Bombyx mori: one gene and its partner. The protein of the gene in region 2 binds, or shares a complex with, the protein of the main gene of each other region. Links are inferred from orthologs where the notes say so. Each region holds a gene or a part of one and is shown on either strand. Other genes may lie near its edges.

Region 1 (5,330 bases), on a different chromosome or scaffold from region 2:
ACAATTACTTGTTATTTTATAGTTAATTATTTTAAGTGTTAATTTCATAAGTATCATTTTTCGTGACATTTTTGTTATATTGTTTTCATAATAGCAAAATTTTTCTTTGTTATGCCTCAAAAATTTTGTACATATTTAAAATTAAAATAAGTTTTAGTTGTTGAAAATAGTATTTATTAATAAATCTCAAATAGAAGTAGCTTCTAGTGCTTGCATTTTTTGTTTCCGTTTTTCTGCCTTCTTTTCATCTTTGATCTTCTCGTCGTGAAGGCGACGTTTTTTCCTAAGCAGCCATATTTCCTTCTTACGTTTTTCTTGACCTGCTTTCATACTTTTATACAGATTGCGGTGCTTCTTTCGTACTAGCTTCTCGCGTAACCGGAATGCCTGTTTGTCTTCTATTTCTTTTTGATAAGGATGTTCTTTATGGGTTACACCTGTCGTTACCCTCATTGATTTTTTCTGAAAATAACCCATCATATATAAATTCTTTACTATCAAACTTATATTATATCTCCTATAATGATTTATTTTTCTATTCACATGAAACCTAAGATTTTTATCATTAATAAGAAAAAATTGGTTCTAAGTTATCGTTATTATTTATAAAAAAGTTGTAATCATATTAATAAAACTGAACATTATCAAAATTAGGTCAAACTGAATAAAATCAAGGTAGAAAACATAGAAAATTCTGATTTTCAATAGTAAAATTATAGTCATTCATATTATGTAGTGGGATTTTTTTTACCTTCTCTTTAGCCAGTTTCTTTTTCTCAGGGTCCAAATCATCATCATCATTTTCTTCTTCATCTTGAGATGAATCTTCATCAACCTCCTGCTGATATTGCTTAGTAATAGCTCTTTCAGCATCACTATCTTCAGAGTCGGGCTCATTTTGCTCCTCCTTGTCTTCATCACTGGCTTCTTCTATTTCACTTCCAGAAGAATCTGCATCTGTTTGAATAAATATCACTAAATGACAATGGTTAATTTTAAGATCATTGAGCTGTACCTTCTATATTATGCACAAACAATGTATGGCGCAAGCTTTCTAATTAACCATTGATATGTTTATTGCCAGCTGATATAAATGAAAATATTACTTAAGACTGAATATATTAATACTGAATATAAAAATGGCATATAAGTTTTCAGCCCACATGGTTTAAAGTGAAAAAAATATCACAATGTAAATAGCACCCACCCACCATGAGATATGAGATCAGTCATAATTATATTGAAATTTTGTGTCTACCTATTTGGAGTAATAAAACCAACACTGAAAAAGATTAGCATATTTCATTAGATAAAATTTGTTTGAAATATTCTTACTGAGTGGTTTGAAGTTTGGATCGTTAAGCTCTCTTTCTTCTGGTGGTATGTATACTTGATCTTTTATAGTGTCAACAAATGGTGACAAGTGAGGCGGAAGAATAGCACCAATCAAGTACTTATTGATTGGCAACAAAGTTCTTGTATTAACACTGTCAAAAACCCATTGCGGCTGGATGTAGTATCGCGATAAGTATTGTTTATCCATACTTGGTCTGTCTACTATTTGGTAGGCAATAGTTTCATCTGTCTCATCAAATGTTGCACCTACAAAGTGATCTTTATCCCATGAGCACTCTCCACCAAAGCAGCGAATTATGAATACTAAGGGTTCCCTGGGTACTTCTCTATTTATGTAAAACTTTAACCCTTTGAACAATGTTTTTAGCTTTTTAATTTTTTCTGCCTCAAGTTTGGCTTCTTCTAGTTTTTGGGGATCATTATCTTCTGTGGGAAATATGTCAATTTCTGGTAACTCTTCAACTTCATTTGATCCTTCAATTTTTGCAGGTGAAATATTCATAGCAGCTATACGTTCTGACACATATGATTGTTCGTCAATAAGGTCTTTGTCTTTTTCAGAAGAGAAACCAATAGGGAGTTTAGGCGGATAAACTAAATTCAGTGAGTGATACAGCTTGAAATTCACAAAACCAAGCATCATAGTGTAAAATTCCACAAATGTCGCCATAATTTTGAAGTCTACTTCATCTTTGCTTTGTGGCTGTTAAAAAAAACCAATTATAAATACTAGTGAACACCAGTCACACTCCACTAATTCTAGAAAAAAAATCAGTGTTTTGGAAATACTGCATGCCACCTAAGGTATATATATATCTAGATAGCACTATGACCTAAATCTTCCCTAGTGTGAATGATTACAGAATGAAATAAATGGTTTAGGAATGTAAAGAGAACAAACATACTAACTCTTTTCTATTGAGCCCACAGATTTCAACAACATAAATGCAACCATACACCTTGAGACAACAGTTCTTAGTCTCAGGTTTACTATACAATAGCAAACTTGCCTTCCTAATCAAAATGCATTATGGCTATGTGGCAGAAATAGACAAGATGGTGGTACCTTAGTGTGGGTTCACAAGACACCCTATCACAGTTAATAAATGAAACCAAGTATATTATTATGTCGAGCAGCTTTTGCTTTCAGTATCTAGATTAGTCCCACCCAGAACATGAATATAAGTGCTGACCCCATATGACCACTTAACAGTTGTAGAGGCAAGTTTTAATGTTTTTGTTTTTCTTTAGTACATTTTTGTATCTATTTAATATTTTTGATCATCTTTTAATGTTTGTTAAAACTTATATAATAAACATTCAAGTACCTGGAATGAGAAATGATGTGGAACAATCCATGTTATTGTTTGTCCTTCAAATTCAACTTGATAATAGAATCCCTTAACCGATACAAACACTTTACGTAGAGCCTTAGCAGCAATTACTGCATGCATGAATTCAACTGTCAGTCTTCTGCACAAGAATGATTGGTCTCTTGGAACTTTTTTCAATGATGGGAAAGTACTGAATAGGAAGCACAATGTGAGACAATCGTCCAAATCTCGCAAAGCGTCAACAAACGTGGGGTATCTTTCCTTTACTATGTGATCAATGTTTATTTCTGGATAGTCCCGCAAAAACTTTCTCATCTTGCCATATTCTCGCTGTGCTCTTGCACGACGAATTTTTTGTTGATAAACCTAAAATTAAGTCATTTTGTAAGTTTTAACAAAATTTTGAAAATAAACTTAAAGTATTACTTATATTGCTACTTTTGGCATATTTTTTACCTTTAGTTCCCTCAGTTTCCATATTATTGGCTCATGTAGTAAAAATTTTATATCTTTAGTGTGATAAAGTGTTTTGATTCCGCCTGCACCTTTTTGAGCCCTCTTTCGGTTTCTAGGTTCTCGGGGGTATATTCCTTTCAAAATACAAATACGTCTGAAATCTTTCAAGGATAGTTGTAGTTTCTTAAGCGCTGCTTTTCTGGTCATAAACTGAGCTCCTTCTCCGGAAGAATACTAAAAATAAAATATTTGTTGGTTAGGATCTTTGAAGACAACATAAAACACGTGTTCGATTTATAGGTAAGTACACACCTTCTTCTTCTTTTTGGACACCATTGTGATTGTTATCCTTGTTCAGAAAGTAATATGTAAAGGTTTTTTGTTTGGTTGTATTAAATATTGAATGTGCGTCTATTATTATTTCACAAGTTCGCACATTTTAGAAAGATTAATGGAGATTTGGAGATCAAATCAAAATCCAAACAGCATTTTGACATTTTTGACAGTAGTAGTAGTTCCATTTTCCAACAGAAAAGGCAAAAGTATCACATTATACAGTCTAAACATTAAACATTCTGATAAGTGAAAATAATAAGGATGAAATGAGGTGAAGGTGATTTATGATGATGACGCTTGACACGAGAGGACATCCTTCAAGATCTAGCTGGTCTACTCACATTTTTACCAGACGCCTGAAACTCTAACGCTAAGAACAGGCATAGGGACCCCGATAATCTAATCCATTGAAACCCATGAAATCTAACCCATAACATCAACTCGCTAAGTTACTCACCGGATCTTCTGATCGGTTTCGGTCGTATTCTATTTCGGTACTACATGTATGAAAAAATATGTTTGAGATATTATTTAAATAAAACTACGCAATCCCATAAATATTAAAGATTTCCGCAAAGAATGTAAAGACTACAAGCTGCTTAAATATCATGAAGGTCGGCAACGCCAGGGGCACAGTGAAGCTGCTGCAAGTGCACAAATTTGTTCCTTTTATTACCTTAGAAGACAGATGAGCACACGGCCTATTAGATCACCGAGTCGTCACCGATGCTCACAAATATGAATAATCCCAGTGGCTTAGCCGAGCTTCTGTAATGTTTACAAAACAACTCTTTTCGAGTCTCGTTTGATGAAGGAGGATATATGCTGCAAAACCTTAGACACATCTGTAGGAGGGATTTCATTCCAGAGCCGCATGGTGTTGTGATAAAAAGATCACAAATGTTGAATTGAGTGTTGCCAGGTCGGTGATATGTGTGAGTTTTGCTACGGTGGCGGGCACTGCAGTGGCTAAATGGGGTTCGCGGAATCATCATCAGAATTTTGAAGTCGTCGTGGCCTAAAGGACAAGACCTCTGGTGCATTCGTGTTGAACGATATGCACCGGTGTTCGAATCCCGCAGGTGAGTACCAATTTTTCTAATGAAATACGTACTTAACAAATGTTCACGATTGACTTCCACGATGAAGGAATAAGATCGGATAATAAAAATCAAACCCGCAAAATTATAATTTGCGTAAATACTGGTGGTAGGACCTCTGGTGAGTCCGCACGGGTAGATACCACCTCCCTGCCTATTTCAGCCGTGAAGCAGTAATGCGTTTCGGTTTGAAGGGTGGGGCAGCCGTTGTAACTATACTGAGACCTTAGAACTTATATCTCAAGGTGGATGACGCATTTACGTTGTAGATGTCTATGGGCTCTAGTAACCACTTAACACCAGGTGGGCTGTGAGCTCGTCCACTCATCTAAGCAATAAAAAAAAAAAAAAACTGGAACTATTCCTCAGATAACTTCTCATGGAACTTAAGATACAAAATAATTACAAAGAAAACGTTCATCGAAGAAAAAAATCATCGTAACTTAGCAAAGGTTTTGCTCCCGTGTTCATTTCGACTGAAGATCTAATTTAATTAAGGTTCATCTTGAGAATTTTTATTTAATAAGAAAATATATAATCCAGTTACATTTATTTAATAATTATCATAATATTATAAATTAATCCTTTTTTATTTATCTAAATAATATTAAAATCCAAAATCATTTATTTTCGCTCTTAGTATTAGGAGCAGGAGTTGTTCCTTGACTTTTGGTCCATGTACTAGGATCCATCATTACGTACATAGGATAAGAATAAGGCGACCACATCGGCGGTGTTGGCATCACAG
Region 2 (3,859 bases):
AACACCATGGAGTTAATAAGTACCTACAACTAGTAACTCTATGTTGAACACACAGTGAATTGTCAGTTTGACGTCCTATCAATTCGGTTCAAAATTCGGTGACCATTCGTACTGTTTTTGACAGGACAGTACTGTTTTTAAGACGTTGTCGTTTTTTTCATTTATTTTGTTTTTCAATGAAAAAAATTATACTAAAACAAAATATTTGTATATAAAAGAAATGTGTACATTAATTTTAGACGAGCCTTTAGTAGAACAAACACAACCTGTTTTACCGATATAGTAGACTAGTGTAAACATCGATCGCTAAACGTCATGTAAAAAAATAAACCAAACTAACCTATATATACCTACTTTAATAGCTTTTTAGTAAAAATTAAGACTTGACTTAAAGGTCTTAGTTACCACGTCATAAAATCCCTTAAGAAAATAACTTATTAAATTTATTAATGTACTTTTTAGCGGGAACGCGAAAAGTGAAGTTGTGCGATTTGTTTTATTTTGTCTATTTAGCGTTTCTTCGGGTTTAAATGTGTAATAATGGTGGTTTATTAACTATTTAATATCTGTAAAGTGCACAAATATTGGAAAATGAAACAAAGCCGCTGAACGTAACTTCTCGGGACGTTATGTTTATGAGTGTACGACTTTTTTATTCAAATCGATTTTCTATGGGTCTTTTGGAGGCAACGCAACGAACAAATTTATTCGAACTAATTTATATTGTTCATTTAATGATCGTTTCTACAATAGTAATAATAAAACTTCGCGAGAAGAATCGGTTGTATAAAAGATTCGAAGGCGCTTCATAGAAGAATAGTTTCACGAAAGGATAGTAAGAAAAGTGTCCCTGTTGAAACGATGACATAGACAGTCCAGGCTTGTAATTGCAAGAAGGTATGAAAACTGGACAGCTAAACTGTGGAGAAATGTACTTTATTCGGACGAGACAATACTGGTGTAGTGCAGTAATTAAAGACCGTGAATGTGCTTCTAACTATTAATTTTAGTTAAAAATGTATTTTCCTTTACACACTTCACATTTTTTTGATATTGCTTAGATGGTTGGACGAGCTCATGGCCCACCTGGTGTGAAGAGGTTACAGAAGCCCATAGACATCAACAACGTAAATTCCGCCACCCACTTTGAGGCATCAGTTCTAAAGTCTTAGTTATAAAAGTACAATGGCTGCACCACCCTTCAAACCAAAACGCATTACTGCTTCACGGCAGAAATAGGCAGGGCGGTGCTACTGTTGATACATACCTACCCGTGCAGACTCACAAGACATCCTACCACCAATAATACTGAAATTATATAATTTAGGCTTCATATAAAATCACTAGTGCAATTTCAATTTTTTCTTATATATTTATTCAGCTTCATTACAAACTGATTAAATTCATTACAAACTGATTAAATTTATTGCTATACCTATGTGGGAATATATACATATGTATGTTATATATGGCTGTTTCATAACATAACTGGTTACATATGAGAAGGAACACTTGCATAAATACACATATCAATATGATTTAGATAAAAAAAAAACTGTTATTTTAAATCATTCTTAATTATATCACCAGAACTATATATAAAGGTAATAATTGACTTTTAAGAAAGCCAACAACTAGGTACCGATGGTCTTTGCCTCGGGCAAGGTTCGAAGGTGCCCCCACAATGTGGGTTTTCCTTAAAATATTCTGCCCCCAGTCCAAAAAGGCCCACAAACATGATGTAAAAGTTGCAGTTCACTTTGAGATATGAGATAAATGTAAACCAATGTATTAGGGTTTTACAGTAACAATAGGTAGGATGATTGATAATATGTATGTCTATGTGGCAGTTTGTTGCACTCAGTGGTGGTCACGGGACGTGCGCGCGCCCACCGCCGCAGTGTAAGAAAAGGGACATTCCATCAAAATAATAGTGCTATTTATATTGTGTGCTAAAGTTTTTCTTATTGGGTTTCAAGAGTAGAGTCTGATAGTAGAATCTGCACCGGCGGCGAGCAGCCAGGGCTGCGTGGGGTGGAAGCGCAGGTCCAGCACGCACAGCTCGTCCTTGACTTCTGGGCCGCGGATTTGTTTGAGCGGGACTATCAGCGGGTTCTGCAGGAGATCGCTGCAGACAACATCACACTCATTAGGTACGGGAAGGAGTTTACGCGTTCCGGCGGCAGTCGGGCGACACGTACTTGTAGACCATCCCGTGCGACACCACCACGTGCGCGTCGTCGCCGCCCGTCGCGAACAGCGGGTAGCGCCGGTGGAAGGCCAGCGCGCGCACCGCCCCGCCGTGCAGCCGCAGCGTCTGGTAGGGCCGCGGGGACAGCTCCAGGTCGAACCTGCAAGAGAGCGCCGCACCGTCACCCCGCTGCAGCACGCGACCGCGCACTCAGGACCAGTACGCACCACATGCACTTCCGGTCGTAAGAAGCCACGAGCATGTTGTCTCCGGCGGGATGGAAGGCGAAGTCGCTAATCCACTGCGCGCCCGGCCGCAGCTTGCGCACCAGCTCCTGCTTGAGCAGGTCGTAGAGGCGCACGGCGCGCTGCGTGGCCACGGCGAGCAGCGGGCGCGCGGGGTGGAAGTGCGCCGCCTGCACCTGCCCCGCCAGGCGCGCCAGCGGCAGCTGCGAGCGGCGCCGCGACACCTGGTGCACGCACACCGCGCGCCCGCCCTCCGCGCGCACGCTCGCCGCCACGTAGTCGCCGCGCCCGTGCCACGACACCTGCGCACGCACTCTTTACAACGGACGTCTTTATTGACGAGAAGGGAAGCACCCGGGTGGGTTTTTTTAAAGTCAGAATCTAAAGATCGAGAAGAGATTTAATTTAAATGCGATCTATAAAATGTCTAATTGAACTTACGTGCACGATGGGCTTAAAGTGCGTGATCGCAATGCGTATCCCTTTGGCCCAGTCCTCCGGAGTGACCCGCTCCCACTTCACCGCAGACGCTGTGCGCTCGTCCGCTGCGCGTTATGACATTTTAGCACACTCAGTACATTAGTCGACTCTTACAAGACTTGGGGGACTAGAAAGCTTATTTTTTAGCTTAGAGCATTTATTTGAGATATACTGATTTAAAGCGGATAAAAACTTGTTTGATAGCGAAAAAAAAAAGTGAGTCATCGCATCCAAATGAAGTATGAGTTGTTGAGTGAGTGCTCACGCTGCACGTCGTGCTGCGGGGGCGGCTCGTCGAGCAGCAGGTCGGTGCGCGCGGCGCGGCGGTGGTGGCCGATGCGCGTGCCCGGGTTGAGCAGCAGCAGGCGGCTCCCGGCGGCGGCCGCCACCAGCCACAGCGCGGGCGCGGGGCTCCACAGCACGCGGCTCACGGGCTCGCCTAGCTCTATTGTGCGGAGACAGCGACCCGTACTAGTCTCCCATACTGAAACCGCATATAAACTATTTTATTACGCATTTATAGAGCTTTTTGTAAATTTTATTTACATAATCTATATCTAAATACATATCGACGCTTGAAAGGCAAACGTGACTAAGCGACAATGCGTGAACTTTACAGTAGACTAATTTAAAGTTGAAATACCTGAAAACAAAATTTATTTTAACGAATCCAGTTGTAGTAGAAACTAGCTAGTAGCTGTAGGATTGAAATGATTTTAATAGACCTAGAAATATATATTTTTTGCGGATCAAATATGGTTATTGCCTATCATTTATGTGCAAAGCAGTTATTGTCGCTTAGTCACTTTTGCCTTTCAAGCGTCGATATGTATCTAATTGTGGCTCACGCATCTGGGATTGAATACAATACAATTAAATATTACTTTGGCCTAATGTCCTGACTGGACCACCCGGATAACAAAATAAATATTTGGAATTTTAG

Evidence for each region.
Region 1: ribosome biogenesis protein BOP1 homolog (region 2) and pescadillo homolog share a complex: the UniProt entries of both Homo sapiens proteins name them as parts of the peBoW complex. The link is inferred for Bombyx mori from reciprocal best matches to the Homo sapiens genes BOP1 and PES1.

The regions. Positions count from the first base shown.
Region 1 is NC_085116.1:5,444,561-5,449,890, forward strand, and holds pescadillo homolog, read right to left. Parts: upstream 3,686-5,330; 5' UTR 3,483-3,685; coding exon 3,459-3,482; intron 3,381-3,458; coding exon 3,147-3,380; intron 3,057-3,146; coding exon 2,685-3,056; intron 2,060-2,684; coding exon 1,336-2,059; intron 958-1,335; coding exon 752-957; intron 463-751; coding exon 187-462; 3' UTR 152-186; downstream 1-151. UniProt on the Homo sapiens protein: Component of the PeBoW complex, which is required for maturation of 28S and 5.8S ribosomal RNAs and formation of the 60S ribosome.
Region 2 is NC_085124.1:470,530-474,388, forward strand, and holds the end of ribosome biogenesis protein BOP1 homolog, read right to left. Parts: intron 3,401-3,859; coding exon 3,182-3,400; intron 2,982-3,181; coding exon 2,878-2,981; intron 2,739-2,877; coding exon 2,419-2,738; intron 2,352-2,418; coding exon 2,202-2,351; intron 2,129-2,201; coding exon 1,975-2,128; 3' UTR 1,353-1,974; downstream 1-1,352. UniProt on the Homo sapiens protein: Component of the PeBoW complex, which is required for maturation of 28S and 5.8S ribosomal RNAs and formation of the 60S ribosome.